Lonchura striata: one gene and its partner. The protein of the gene in region 1 interacts with the protein of each later gene in a pairwise test. Links are inferred from orthologs where the notes say so. Each region holds a gene or a part of one and is shown on either strand. Other genes may lie near its edges.

Region 1 (6,917 bases):
TTTGGTGAGCATTTTAGGTGTGAAGTACCTTGTCTGTAGAGAGAAATCCTCCTCCTCTAAAGAGATAGCTGGAGTGGAGAAAGAAATTACCATTGTAAACACCTAACACTTTGCCTTGACTTGATGTATTCAGAATTAAATACTAATGCCAAACTGGGAGATGAAAACCCATAATGAATAATAAAATATTTTGCTGAAATTATGTCTTCGCGAAGAAGAGCACATAGAAATTGCCAATTTGCTTTCCTGGTGCAACCAAAACAATTTTTAATTATGATGACTTTGTAGCAGCAGGGGGGATGGGTTTAAGATCTGTAATGTTTTGCTTTTTAGGCACTGGTTAATTTTCACCCACAGAAGAATGATAATTGATAAGTTGTGGATGTCAGGGTTTAGAGCTTTCTTGCATCATGGTGGGAAAGTGCAAGCACAGCAGGCAACAAATATTTGTATTTCTTAAAAGCTCAAATCTTCCGGCTATAAAAAGCATTCCTTCATTTAATTTGGCTCACAATTTAGATTGGCATAATTTTGGAGAATGTAACCATTTCATCAGTATGTCAGAAAATTAAAATCTACTTCTATTTTTAAGCTCAGCTTCAGACTGCAAAAATGCTAATTCTTCTCCTTGAATCTGAGGACTTTGATGGAGGTGCAAAAGTAACAACCCCATGACAACTCTCATTATATAACAAAGTTGAACGGGTCCCTGTTTTAAACAGACAGTGCTGAACAGCTTTGTACTTGAGTATTACTTTAGATTGCCTCCCCTCAATCTGATGTGGAGCTCTTCAGATGTGCAATGTTTTAGATGTTTACTCATACTTGGTAAAAGAGCAAAAGCAATATACCACATACAGGAATACTGGTCTTGCACTAGAAATATGGTTTTAAGTAGAACATTGCCCATGTATAAATACACTCATATTCTGAACTATATGAAGGAAGAGTAATCAGCTAGTAGACACAAGGGACAGTATAGTCAAAAGTTTAGGACTCAAATAGTACAATAGGAGGATTTTCAGAAGTTCTAATATTAAAGTTCAGCAGTCACTTAACACACTATTTAAATCTAAAATGTAAGTATTTAACCATAAAACACAGAGGAATCTAGCAGTGAGGAATATATACATTCCCAGAGATGTACATAACTCATGACACAAACAGGTATTACCTTAATTGCATACAAAACCAGATGTTTCTAAAGAGAGAAGCACTTCCATAGGCCTGTGTGTGTGGAAGAAGTAAGAGTGTTTGTGTCCATGTATTCATTTTTTACCTGCTTTGAGACTGTCCTGGTTCCTGCCTGGGAGGCGAATCAGAGCCTTTGAGTGCTATGCTTTTGTAGGCTGTAAGAACCAGAATAGAGATTTGTCAATTATTGCTGCAGGAGAAAAACAGCCTGGAATAAAGCATTACAGAAGCACACAAAAATGTACAACTCATAGGTCTATTTTTGTTTTTAATTTAAAATACATTTCCCTTACATAAACAAATAACTGTGGTTGAGATGACACTTGCTTGCATGACTACAACCCTGGTTATTGAATAATAGAATAGTTTGGGTTGAAAGGGACATGAAAAGGTCACCTAGTCCAAATCCCTGCAATAAGCAATCATCTTCAACTAGACCAAGTTGCTCAGAGCCCCATCCCACCTGACCTTGAATGTTTCCAGAGATGGGGCATCCACCACCTCCCTGGGCAACCTGTTGCAGTGTCTCACCACCCACACATAAAAACTTTTTCCTTATAGCTAGTCTAAATCAACCCTACTTTAGTTCAAAACCATTGTCCCTTGTCCTGTCACAACAGGCCCTGCTAAAATTCTTATTCCCATCTCATATAAGCCCCCTATACGTATGAAAGGCTGCAATAAGGTCTCCCCAGAGCCCTCTCATCTCTTGACTCAACTCGACCTGACTCCCTCAGCATGTCCTCATAGGAAAGGTGATCCAGCTTCCTAATCATCTTTGTGGTCCTCTTCTGGATATGCTCCAACAGGTCCTTGTCTTTTCTGTGCTGAGGACTCCAGACCGGATGAAGGACTCCAGGTGGAAGCTGCCCAGAGCAGAGTAGCTATAACTATGTAGTACAGAGAATGTAAAATTTACTGTGCAAAACTGAGTTTGGCAAGAAGACACACAATCCAAACCCCATTTAATCTCTCCTGCACTTCAAATAGAATTGAAAACCTCATAGGCTAAGTAGGCACATAGGATTTTATAACCGAGTTCGCTTTACCAAGGGAAACATCCGCGGTCAAAAAACAGAAATTAAAGGAAAGCTGCTGCTGCTCTGCTGCTGCTCTGCTGCCAACTGGCTTTCGGCTCGGCAGCCGGAGAACGGCGGGGACCGGGCCCCCTCTGGCGGACACCGGCCGGGAGCGGGAACGGGGACGGGAACGGGCACGGGAGCGGGAACGGGCACGGGAATGGGAACGGGCACGGGAATGGGAACGGGCACGGGAGCGGGAACGGGCACGGGAGCGGGAACGGGAGCGGGCACGGGAGAGGGAACGGCAACGGCAACGGCAACGGGCACGGGAATGGGAACGGGCACGGGCACGGGAACGGGCACGGGCACGGGCACGGGCACGGGAGCGGGCACGGGCACGGGAGAGGGAACGGCAACGGCAACGGGAACGGGAACGGGAACGGGAACGGGAACGGGAATGGGAACGGGCACGGGCACGGGAATGGGAACGGGCACGGGCACGGGAGCGGGCACGGGCACGGGAGCGTGTAGCGCAGCTTCTGCAGCCGGGTGAGAGAGCGGCGTCTCCGCGGCGCGCTGGCACGGAGATGTATTTTCTCTACGAGAGCTGCACGCCAAATTGCACCTGCAAGTCGGTAGGTTGCACTGTAACATCAAGATTGAAGTCTCCTGTTCCTGTTTTCCCATTGAGCAGCTCAATAGCAAAGACAATGAAGCTTTTTATTTGAGTTAATATTTGTCTCAAGTCCCTGCTTTATGCCTACAATACCTGGAATGCCCGTGTGGTGTCTAACACAATTGCTGGACAGGTACGAAGTTTAGCTTCCACTTGTCTTTCTAATGTTTTTTACCATTAAAAAACCTAACCAAACAAAAAACCCAAAAAAATTGTGGCAAACAAATGCCAAAATTGAAAGAGTGAGAGAGAACCCTCTATTTTCCCCCTTTAAACTTAGCTTTATTCAGATATTAATGAGTTTTACTTCCTTGAATAAATCAGTCCATTTCCTAATTTAATTGTGTATGTCTTTACAACGTGGGGTTATATATTAAACTGGAAAGAATGCACAATGTACCTGCAAACCCACGCGGTTAACAGGATGACTCATTTGCACTCCGTGACTCTTTCTGCAAACACTGCAAGACATTTAACTCCTGAGGGCAGGCGGATCAACACTGGCAGAAGGATGGGCTGGAGATAACTTGAATTTTGCAGTTCAGCTGATTTTTGCTATTCTGAGCCAGGATCTCACCAAAGGTTTAGGACGAAAAACAAAAAAATCACAGAGCAGCTTGAGCGCAACACTGTCAGCCTTAGAGAATACACTTTCTTGTTTTATTAACACCCAAGAACAGCTAATGCCCCCTGGGCCATGGTGGGCAGGGGCACCAGACTGCATGTACCACAATGCATCGCGCGGCGATGGTAGCCGAGCCGGCCAGGCACTGGGATCGTGTGGAGCTCTGGGTAGTGTAGTTTATTTGTGGAGAGCCACCTAGCATCTGAAGGCGGGAAGGGAGAAGCAAGGGACTACAACTCCCGTAGGGCCGTGCGTCGCCAGCTCTGTGTTGTGTGGACGGGAGGGTGGCGTCCCCGGCTCCTGGCTTGTGGCATCCCCGCTCGCCACCGATCCTTGGGCCTGAGGCAGCCGCAGCCCCGGAGAGACCATGGAGCTTGGGATAGCGGGGGTGCAGCGCCGTGCCTGAGGGCGGGCTGGGGCGGTAGCGCCATGGATAGCCGGTGCTATGGGTGTGCGTCCAAGTTCTCTGTCTTCAAGAAAGAGGCAAGTCCGGCTGCGGGGGGTCAGGAACGGGCCGGTCCCGCGGGTTCCTCCCCCGCCGGGCGAGGGTCTGAGAAGGGAACCGGGGACTGCTTCGCCCGGCGCCGAGACACGCTTCCCGGCCAGCTTCCCGGCGATGTTGCCCTGGGTACTGAGCTCTCGTGTGACTAATTCCGATATGTCTTCAGATATGAGACATTACTGACCAAAAAACCAAAAAGTCATTGAATGCCGTCCCTCTCACCCAGGATTCTGGCATGATCTCAGACAATTCACACACACACACTTTGCTATACTATAGGGTGAAGTGGTGACTCTGCTCCCAGCAGGAGTTATCTGCTGGTGCTCCAAGGTTCTTGAGTCTCCATATCTTCAGCAGCAGCTGGTGAAACAGTTCTATCACATGAAAATCAGCATAACCCCAGCACTATTTTGTGTGTGCCTCGGCACGGGCACTGTGCCCGCCGGCGGCACCAGTGTGGTGGCGAGGTGCTGAAGCCCTGTGGTGCCCCTCTCTCCTGTCTCTGCAGTGTGGCTGCAAGAGCTGCGGACGCTCCTTCTGCTCGGCCTGCCGGAGCTTCAGTGCTGTTGTTCCCCGCTGTGGGAACACTCAGCAGAAGGTGTGCAAGCAGTGCTATGGAAAACTAACTGGGTAAGATGGGAGTGTTCACCCAGAGACAGTTTGCTGCTTTTTTCCTTCAGTTTACATTCCATGTGATGTTGCAGATTTCTGCAGGAGAGCTCTGCTTTCCATATGTTCATGGATGCTGCCTGTACCCTGGAACTTTAAGACAGGACATCTCTGAACTTGTTATTATATGAGCTGTGCAGTCATAAAATAGGAAGCAGGATTTGTTCCTGTTCTATGGTTGACAAAGTAGTTTGAAAGCATCAGGTTTAAATCTTCATGGATGGACACTGAATTCCTGTGGACAGTTTAACTAGATGGGCTGAGGTTAAGCCACAGTGTGTTTTTGCCCAGTTCTGGCAGTCTTCTCAGATGTGTATAGTTGAGTAGCCTGACAATAAGATGTTCAAAGTGTTATTAATTCTGTGGGCAAACTATGACATAAGTCCTTCTTGTTGAGGGATCTCTGTTTTGTGTGGCCTGAAGACATAAAGTTTTGTAGCCTAAAAGCTATAAAATTTTTGCTTCTAAAAGGAAACTTTAAAAATTATTTGCAAACCATTATTTGCAAAATAAGTTTTTTGCAAAAAATTATTTGCATAACCAGTAGACTTCCTGTCGAAAACAAAACATGTAATTCAGTAGCAGCAGGATTATACACTTGAACAAGCAACACAAGAACACAGGTGTATACCAGAATTCCTCTGTCAACCAATTCTTCTGTGTCCTCCTTTTTCTCTTGCATTTCTCTTGTTCCTTTTCCTCACTTTTCTCCTATAGCAAGAAATTTTCACCAGCAAGGGGGGAATTTTCTGGTTCTGCAGTTGTCTAAAGGAGAAGAGCCTCATTAGTGAAGGTCTTCATCTTCATGGGCTGCTGAAAACAGTGAAGGACAGTATTCAATCTTTTCAGTTTCACAATTTTCTGATTTCCCTTCATAACTTCAAAGCCATTAAGAAAACAGGGCTGCCTGTCTTGATGTTTCCTCTTGGTGTTTTTTTCTCATAACTTTAATATCAGCACTAGAGAGCTATAGCAGAAAAACAATCTTCTCTGACTGGATAGCAGGTAGATTATAGAATCATAGAACTGTCTGAGCTGGAAGAAACCTTAAAAATCATCTATTTCCAGCCCCTGTGCTGTGGGCAGGACACCTTCCACTAGACCAGGTTGCTAAGAGCTCCATCCCACCTGACCTTGAACACTCCAGGGATGGGTCATCCACAGCTTCTCTGGGGAACCTGTTCCAGTGTTTTACCACTCTCCAAGTAAAGAATTTTTTTATAGTAGCTAATCTAAAGCTGTGCTCTTTCAGTTTAAAACCATTCCTCTGTGTCCTGTCACTACATGCTCTTCATAAAAAGTCCTTCTCCATCTTTTGTGGAAGTTCCCTTCAGGTACTGGAGGCTGCAGTTAGGTCACCCTGGAGCTGTCTCTTTTCCAGGCTGAATAATCCCAATTCTGTCAGCCTTTCCTCATAGATGTGCTTCATCCTTATAATCAATTTGGCGGCCTCCACTGGACAGACTCCAACAAGTCCATGTCTGCCCTGAGCTGGGGACCCCAGAGCTGAATGCAGCACTGCTGGTGAGGTCCCATGAGAGAGGAAGAGATGGGTAGAATCCCCTCCCTTGCCCTGCTGGCCATGCTGCTCTGGGTACAGCCCAGGACACAGCTGGCTCTCTGGGCTGTGGGCACACATTGCTGGGTCACATCCAGCCTCCTATTCACAGCACTCCCAAGTCCTTTGTGGCAGGGCTGCTCTTGATCTGCTCATCCCCCAGCCTGTGCTGGTACCAGGAGTTGCTCCAATCTAAGTGCAGCACCTTGCACTTTGTCTCATTTAACCTCATGAGACAAGGGCCCACTTCTTGAGCTTGTCCAGGTCCCTCTGGGTGGCATCCTGTCCTGTAGGTAATACACACAGGCTGCAGTTCTGTAAGCTGCATATGTTGTTGTTCTTCATGCAAATAGCTTTCAGAATTGAAGCCTTAGAATGTTGGAAAGTATTCCAGCAATGTTGCATTCAGTCATTACTATATGGGCCTTAGCTGTGATTTCTAAGAATGAATAAAATATTCTAACTAACTTACATAAGTGTCTAGTTCGATCCCTCAGCCTGAACACAGCAAAGTAGAAGAGTTAGACATGTTTTAGGTGTGTAGTGTTTTAGTGTTTTGTAAGATGTTATATAAGAACTTTTGTAACACTTTGTTTTATTTGTATGTTATATAATTCTGTGTTTGTTGCATGCCCCATCTCCTTCCAGAGTGTCCTGCTGCATGGAAGCTA
Region 2 (7,989 bases), on another chromosome or scaffold:
ACTATAGACAGGTTATGGTAGAATAATAGCCTGGTTCCAAGAGCTTCCTGCTTAAAATGAAAATTATTCTGCTAAGAGTGGCTTGGATCAAGAGAAAATTAAATGACCTCTCTATCCAGTTTTTCCTCCTTTCCATACCTAATTAAAAGGCTTAGGGGTTAATAAACAGGGATCCAGTAAGGAAATTCTAGCCCAGAAATCTAGTGCAGACTACACTGCTAGTGTAGCTCACAGCTAGTCTAGTCCCAGACCAGCTCTCTTTCCCTTTATCACTTTAATCATTCAGACCACAAGCCATTCAGTTTTGTTGGAAACACTGCTCTCTACAGTCATACAGGCAAAAGCCACTCTGAATGTAGCATGAAAAGTAAGCCTGGAAGCATCAGAGGCAGCTCATCAACCTTAAAACTTATTCATGCAGATGAATCCCTTGTTTTGCAACAGCCAAGTTCAGTTATTCTGCTGTATATTGGAATGGCAAAAGTTATTCCCCTGTCATGTGTTTAGAGGAGTCTGGTAATACTTTTAAAAGCACCTACTGGAGCAGAACTGCTTTTATGCTTCTCCCTGCCTAATACAATTCAGATTTCTGGTACTCTGGCAACAGTAAACACTACAGACTTTCTATTGCATAGGAGATTCATGGAAAGAAAATCTGGGTCAACTCACAGATTTGTGACTTTTTTAAGACAGTGAGACACATGCTGTGACAACCAGCTGGCTTGAACCCTTTCATAACACAGATTGTAGAACCTGATCTACCAATTTTATGAGACTCATGATTTTTCTTTGGGTTAGACCATATATTTTTGAAAAATCTGGCAGTGATCAAAACAGACCCCCAGTTGATGAGAGCATCTAGAATATCCTTAGGAGTTGTTCCAATAATTCCACAGGTCATCAAAATTTTAAATGAAGGCAGTATGAAGCAATCTGAAGCGCACAGTCCAAACTCGAACATTCTAAACTCAAAGAAGCATTGGCTGGGGAGCACTTTTTAAACTTTTAACAATAAAATCTCTTGAAGTGAATAGGGCTATATAAGACTGTTAAGTCCTGTGACTATGAAAACGTTTCAAAAAGAAATGCTGCTACACCAAACTCAACAATGCATAGCACAAAATCCCTGAACTCATATATGTCTAAAAGGGCTGGTAGTTTCCAGCTGGCAAAATTGTGTATTTTAAATGAAAATGAGTCAACCGATACATCCCTGAGGCCGTGTCTGCTCAACTGTACAAAAACCATAATTGAAGAGATTTTATTCCATTCAATTTCAACAAGTTATCAAGACCTAACAAATGAAATGCTATGCAGAAAAGACTTAGGTGAATTGTTTGCCCTTGGTCTCTACAGAGAATGCCCACGAGTGTCCCCATCCGCTGAGTTCAAGATGAGAAAAACCTCAGAAATCTCCAACCTTATGCTCATAGAGGGCAAATATTGCCCTTGAAGATAACACATGTGAAGTTAAGAAAAATACTGTTTCAGATTTCATTTTTATTCATGACAATTTCTGCTGGTACTCACGTAACAGTAAGGAAAAAAGTCCTGAAATTCACTATGCTAAATGTCATTCAAAAAACATAGTAGTAGAAGTGGATTGTATATTTCACAACTTAAGAAAATAAGCACATTTCTATTTCTATACTCTGTCAAAAGATCAAATGAACAGTTTTCAAAATGTGCCCTGAGTTATACCTGCAATCATTTTCTTAGGCTATTTTCATGTTGTGCTGGATTAATCTCACTATGAACTACAGGAATATGCATCCTAAGTCATTCCATTGGCTGGAATAAACTAATTTAGTCCAGAAGACAACACATTTTGTATATAGAAGTAGAGTGAAAATTAACATAACTAAAAAATATGAAGAGTTTAGCTCAAAAGTGACAAATTTAAGTTTTCTTTTCCAGGTAGGCACAGCCACACCCATTACTGTACTATGGCAGGAAATATTGTCACCATCCACCTCAGACCCATGAGATGGGGCAGAGTTGGATGACCATGAACTCCTCAAAACCCAGTGCTTCAAGTTTTGCCCCAAAGCTCATTCTTGTCTCTAATGCCATAAATGTAACACGGCTTTATTTTGTTGTCAGTCTTTCTGGTCCTGAACACAGCTTTAATTCTTTCCCTCCTAAGCTCTATAGCTGCACAACACCTTCTCTGCACACAAAGCACCAAGTGCTTTAGGAATAAGAGCTCTTAGGATACAGCTCTCCTCCATAAGGCTGCTGTGGTTTCAGTGCTATTAAAGGGGTTATGTATGGCAGCCATCCACCTGCAATTCTCCCAGCAGGACTCCCACAGGCCAGGCACTACGTAACAGGTAGAAAGGTTCCCCAACACAGCTGGTGGCTTGAAGTGCTCCTGCTTTTCAGCCCAGCATGGTTCAAAGAAGGGACCCAGCTGCACCACGAGTGCACTGCAGGTCCTGTCCCAAGTGCATGAGCTCATTATGTGTACACCAAACAGGATCGAGGTGCCACAATGGAATTTGGACAATCTGAATTTTACTTCTTAGTGTTGCTACTGACAGCCTTTGTTACCTAGGTCAGATTGATCTGACCAGATTCATCATCATTTCATCTGGTAAAGAAATACAGGAAAACAAGGCTATATTTTCCTGCCTTCTCTGCCTTGTCTGTCTGCACTGTAAAGGTCTCTGAGGCAGTGACTTCCCTTACCTGCATGGCTCTCACGTCATTTAGCTGATGCCAATCTCACTCTGATGGTAACATTAGTCATCTCTAGCCACTCCTCAGCTGCCACGGCGGAGGAGAATCATAGATACGACACCTGGTTGTGCTGCAGACACATGATCTATCTAGTTGATGCATCCATCTACTTACTCTTGGCCCAAGGTGACCAGGCAAGGTGAAGTGTAGGCCCCTTCCCTCCAATCCAAGGCATGGCAGCAGGAAGCATTCTCCACAACAGCTTACTCAGCCTTAGGAAACACAGATCATCAGTACCTGTGCCACGTAATGCCATAGCAATGTGAGCAATAATGCCCCAGGTAGTTATGGGATGGACTTAGTTGAGCCCAGTAGGTACCCATATTAACACCTTTAATATGCTTTATTTTCATTACACTTGTCATTCTTAGAATATAGTAACAAAGGAACTTCAGCACTGGGAAGTATTAGATAATGCGGCTGTAGTTGTTCCTCAAATGGAAGTAATGCCCTTAACATGACACTTCATTAGCTTCTCAAGAAATAATCTTGATGTCATTACTCAGCATTCATCTAGTCTTTCCTCAGGCAAAACTAGCTGCAAAGTCAAATCATAGCAGGAATATTGTATGAGTAAGACTTAAGTAAGGGCTGCAAAGTTTAGCCTGTTATCTGTAAATTACAGAGGTGCCTTTCCTGATTTACTTTCTTTAATCACATTTGCAGAAACCAGTCATTTTTTCTGGAAGCCAGTTCAGTGTGGCAGGAGAGGCATACTTACACTCTTGTGAGGTACGTATTGTTTTAGACCTCAGTCTAAAACCTAAATATAACATCAAAGAATTAAAAATCATAGGTACAGATGACACAGAATTACTAGCATCAGGAACATATCTGAAAATACTCTGTTACACCAACCAGAATGAGAAGGTAAAGCCAAAAAGGAAATGATACTCAAGGAAGTAGCTTGTTTTAAATAAAAAGAAGGTTAAAAATAGCCCAAAGGCTTCATTATGGCATAATCAACCATGAAAGAGTGAAAGGAATGGTTTCGCCTCATCCTTTGAAGATGGAATAAGAAAGAAATGGGTATACAATATTTAACCCTTGAGCCCCTCCCACCACTGATGCTATGCTTGAATCCTGATGACCACACAGCTGTAAGGTTCCTTTAGAAATCATCATCTCTCCTTCTAATTTGACCAATTTCAGTTGTCTTTAGTAGCAAACCCTCTTTACCATTTCATTTCCCAAAGCCTGATTACATGACCTAGTCTTTCCTACATCATGTCTTTACACATTTGCAGTCAATCCAAGGAGAACAGCTGTTATTGACAACATCTAAAAATCAACCAAAGCATCCTCAACTCGTGAGGACACTTACCAAAATAAACTGCCAGCCAGACAACATAGTGAAGAGATTCACCACGACCTTCCCTGGTACAGGGGGAACTGTGAATGTGCCTTTTTCCCTTGTATGCCCAGAGTATACAGCCTACTTGACTATATCAAAAAGGTTCAGAGACCTTTTATTACAAAATAAAATCAAAAAAGTTACATTGGAATTATTAAGTTAAAGCTGCACTGTGATAACTTGAAGGTATTTGGAAGAACGGGTTTTATTGCAGTTGAGTTTGCCAGATACTTTTTTTGCCCTGAAGAAATTAATGTACCAGAGGGAAAGATATGGCACTTATTTAGCAGATATCCCTGCATCCATACAGCAAGTTGGCTTTCCAGAACTGGTTCGTAATTGCTTGCGTGTTGAGTCACTTCCTCCTCCCCACTCTATAAGCATCGCACGTCAACTGATCTTTGTCACGAACCCACGGGCGAGTGACACTTGCCCATGACACTGTCATGCTTGATTAGACAGGATTGGGCCTGTTTAATCCGGAGAAAAGAGGACTGAGAGGAGATCTTATTTAATGCATATAAATATCCCCAAGGCAGGTGCCAAGAGGACGGTGCCAGACTCTTTTTGGTGGTGCCCAGCGACAGGACGGGGAGCAGCGGCCACGAACTAAAGCACGGTTAGCCGCACCCCAACATGAGGAAGAACCTCACGTTGAGGGTGGCCGAGCCCTGGGACCGGCTGCCCAGGGAGGCCGTGGGCTCTCCTGTGGAGAGATCCCAGCGGGATTGCACAGGAGGCTCCAAGAGCCGCGTTCCAAGCCCAAGCCCCAGCGGGCGAGCGCGGCCCGGGCAGCGCCGCGGCCGGGGCGGGCCGGGCGCTCGGGGCGTGCCCGGAAGCGGAGGCGGAAGCGGAAGCGGCGCTCGGGGCGGAAGCGGCGGCGGAGGCCGCGGTTCGGGCTCCGCGGGCGGCGGGGCGGCGGCGCTGCGCCACCGGCAGCCGGGCCCGCTCCCGCGCCACTCTCCCCCCGCTCCCTGCCCTCCCCTGCCGCTCCGCCATGGCGGCCAACACCGGCAACCTGCAGGTACAGCGGCGCCGGCCCTGCCCGCGCGGGGCGGGCCCGGCCGGCGGCGGCGGCGGGGGGCGGCGCCGGGAAGGAGCGGGGCCCGGGGTTCCCGGGCCGGGAGTGTTCCGGGGCGCAGGGAGCGCGGACGCCTCTGCTCAGCGGGCCGCGGGCACCGCGGTGGGGGGACTGCTCGGGGGGCAGAGCCCACGGGGTCAGCCCTCCTCGTCCCGGGGAGGGCGTCCCAGCCCCGCGGGACACGGGCAGCGAGGCCTGGTGCTCGCCCGGGAAGCGCTGTTGCCTCTTGTGCTCGGGACGCGTGGCTTGGCTTGTGTTGCCGTAAGGCTCCTGGTGGCTGTAGGAAGCCCTTGCCTGCTCTGCTGTTCCGCTTGTGTGAACCCTCGGCTGCGGGGGTGCGATCGGTGCTGAGGCTGGCCGGCGAAACAGACCCCGAAGTGAAATAACTGCGTTCCAAAGAGCCCCTTTTTCTCTTCGGCTGTTTGAACCGTGATCGTTTCTGTATGCGGTGTTTACACTGGCAGTGTGATGTTTGCATTGGCAAAGCTGGAGGAGATGTTACAGGATTTATAATAAGCAGAAGAATGACACCTCTTTAAACTGACATTCTTTCCTTGGGGGATGTTCATCAAACTATAAGCCCATGGCCGATAAACGTAGTTTGTGCCTTAGGCATAGTTAGAACTGGTCATCTATGCCCTAGTTCATACAGCTTTCTAATAATGATTTTCTGTTTGATAGCAGTGATGTTCTTCACAGTAACAGGCTAAGGTGCAGCTGATGTAATGAAGTATTAGAGCTGAGAATCTAATAGCCAGGTAATAGTCTTTGGCTGTTTACAAAAAGAGAGTGTAGCAAAACCAGGCAGTACATGATGCAGACTTTTGCCGATTTCAGAGCAACAGGTTTGTGACATGCCCTGTTTTCTCACCGTTCTGTTTTAGCACACGATCTTTGACATTTATTCTTTGGAATTAATGTCACCTGTCTTTCTTATACTGAATCCAGGAATTACTGGGCTATCCCATAGTAATTAAAGTCGCTAATGAGACTTAAGAACTTTAATATGAAAATAACATTTTGGGGGGTTAATTTTTGCTCTGTTGCTAGATTTGAATGGTGCACAGATATGCGTAAGGGAGTCAGCATAAAATGGGCAGCAAGGAGGTAGCTGTCCATTCATACCTGGGAAACTGCTCTTGAGCTCCCAGCCTCTCCAAGAAGGAAAGACTTAGCTTCTGTTCCAAAGAAACAGATGTTAAAGTGCTCCAGCACTTGCCACAACAGAGCCATAGTCTGTTTAATTGGTTCATTGCTTTTAAATACCTTTAATGTCAAGTAGATCTGTTGAGATGATCTTTGCTTCCAAGACATCAACACAAAGCAATAGAATGCAAGATTTTGCTGTTTTTTTCATGGCTATTGTTTACTAGCTTTGTTCTGCCTGAAACAGCAGAGTGTAGGTAGTGGCAAGAATATCTGTACTGGAATGTCTAATGGAAACTCCTTGCTGCAGCTCAAACTCTCAACATTGCTCCCTGGCGTTACATAATCATCCTGAGCAATGCTTAGGAAAGGGAACCACATGGGAAAAAATAGATGAAGGATTATAGACTATTTAGTTGGTGTTGGTTAACTGGCTGACTGCTTATTTTCAACTTACATGAGCCAGTGGTCAAAATGACAGTTTTAATTGTCTGGAAATGGTATGGTCATTCCAAGGAGTAAAGTGTAATAAAAAGTAATAAGCACTTAGGAGTGAGCAACGGAATAGTGGTGATACAATAAATCCACAAGGCAGTGTGTGCTTAGATCTCAGTCAGATTTACTTGAAAATAACTGAACAAATAAAGTAAAAATCCATTCATAGTTTCTCATAGAACTCTTTGATGCTTGAGATTTGGGTATGTTCTCTGTCTGTTTTGAGCTTTTTTTTCTCCTCTCCCACTGGAATGATAATTAGAATTTCTCACTAAGATATCAAGAGTCCGAATCCTCCTGGAGAAGCCAAGCAACTGGTCTTTGAAGATGTCTCCCAGCATAATGTTTGAAGAGTGATAGTGCTAGTTTCAGTGGTTGTAATCAGCTACTTCCTGTATTGACTTTGCTGTTTACAGGGTTTACTGATGTCATCAGTCATAGGATCATAGAATTGTTTAGGCTGGAAAAGATTTGAGTCCAGCCATTAACCCAGCGCTGTCAAGTGCACCCCTGAACCATGCCTTAAAACAGCATATCTGTATCATAGTTCAAAGTTTCTATGTCTGTAATAAAAAAACCCCAAGCCTTACAATGGATTTCCAGATTTTTTCATAATAAGTGCAAGAGTTTGGCAAGACAGACTGCATAGTAGTAGTAGTAGTTCCAGCTTAGTACACAGAAACTTCTTCTCACGTGTGCTTTTTTGTGTGCTAGTAAATTTCAGCAGGTTGTAAATCATGCTGTTCATAAAAGGATGGAAATATTGTGTTTTGTACAAAACACTACCTATGACAATCAATTGCCTTCAACTCTGAGGGGATAAATGTTGAGGAGCAGAAAAACTGGCCGTCAAATGACAGTAACAGCTTAAATGGTCTCTGATCATGGAAAATGCTCTTGTACAGCAATTAATTATTTGTTTGTGTTACAGAAAGCAATAGACCTTGCTAGCAAGGCAGCACAAGAAGATAAAGCAGGAAACTATGAGGAAGCCTTCCGCTTGTACCAACATGCCGTGCAGTATTTTATCCATGTTGTTAAATGTAAGTGTGATGTGTTGGATGATTAAGTAAAGTTTAGTCGTCAGATTGCACAAGAGTATTCTCTTATGTTGACATCAGTATTTAAATTTTTGCCCTCGTCAACAGTTGATACTTGCTAATTGTAGTTT

Evidence for each region.
Region 2: the proteins of ZFYVE19 (region 1) and VPS4B interact in binary tests that used the Homo sapiens proteins (3 or more experiments, as listed by UniProt). The two-hybrid records come from large-scale screens. The link is inferred for Lonchura striata from reciprocal best matches to the Homo sapiens genes ZFYVE19 and VPS4B.

The regions. Positions count from the first base shown.
Region 1 is NC_134608.1:37,895,296-37,902,212, reverse strand, and holds the start of ZFYVE19 (abscission/NoCut checkpoint regulator), read left to right. Parts: upstream 1-3,839; 5' UTR 3,840-3,946; coding exon 3,947-4,000; intron 4,001-4,527; coding exon 4,528-4,649; intron 4,650-6,917. UniProt on the Homo sapiens protein: Key regulator of abscission step in cytokinesis: part of the cytokinesis checkpoint, a process required to delay abscission to prevent both premature resolution of intercellular chromosome bridges and accumulation of DNA damage.
Region 2 is NC_134603.1:96,375,662-96,383,650, forward strand, and holds the start of VPS4B (vacuolar protein sorting-associated protein 4B), read left to right. Parts: upstream 1-4,972; 5' UTR 4,973-5,093; coding exon 5,094-5,120; intron 5,121-7,749; coding exon 7,750-7,861; intron 7,862-7,989.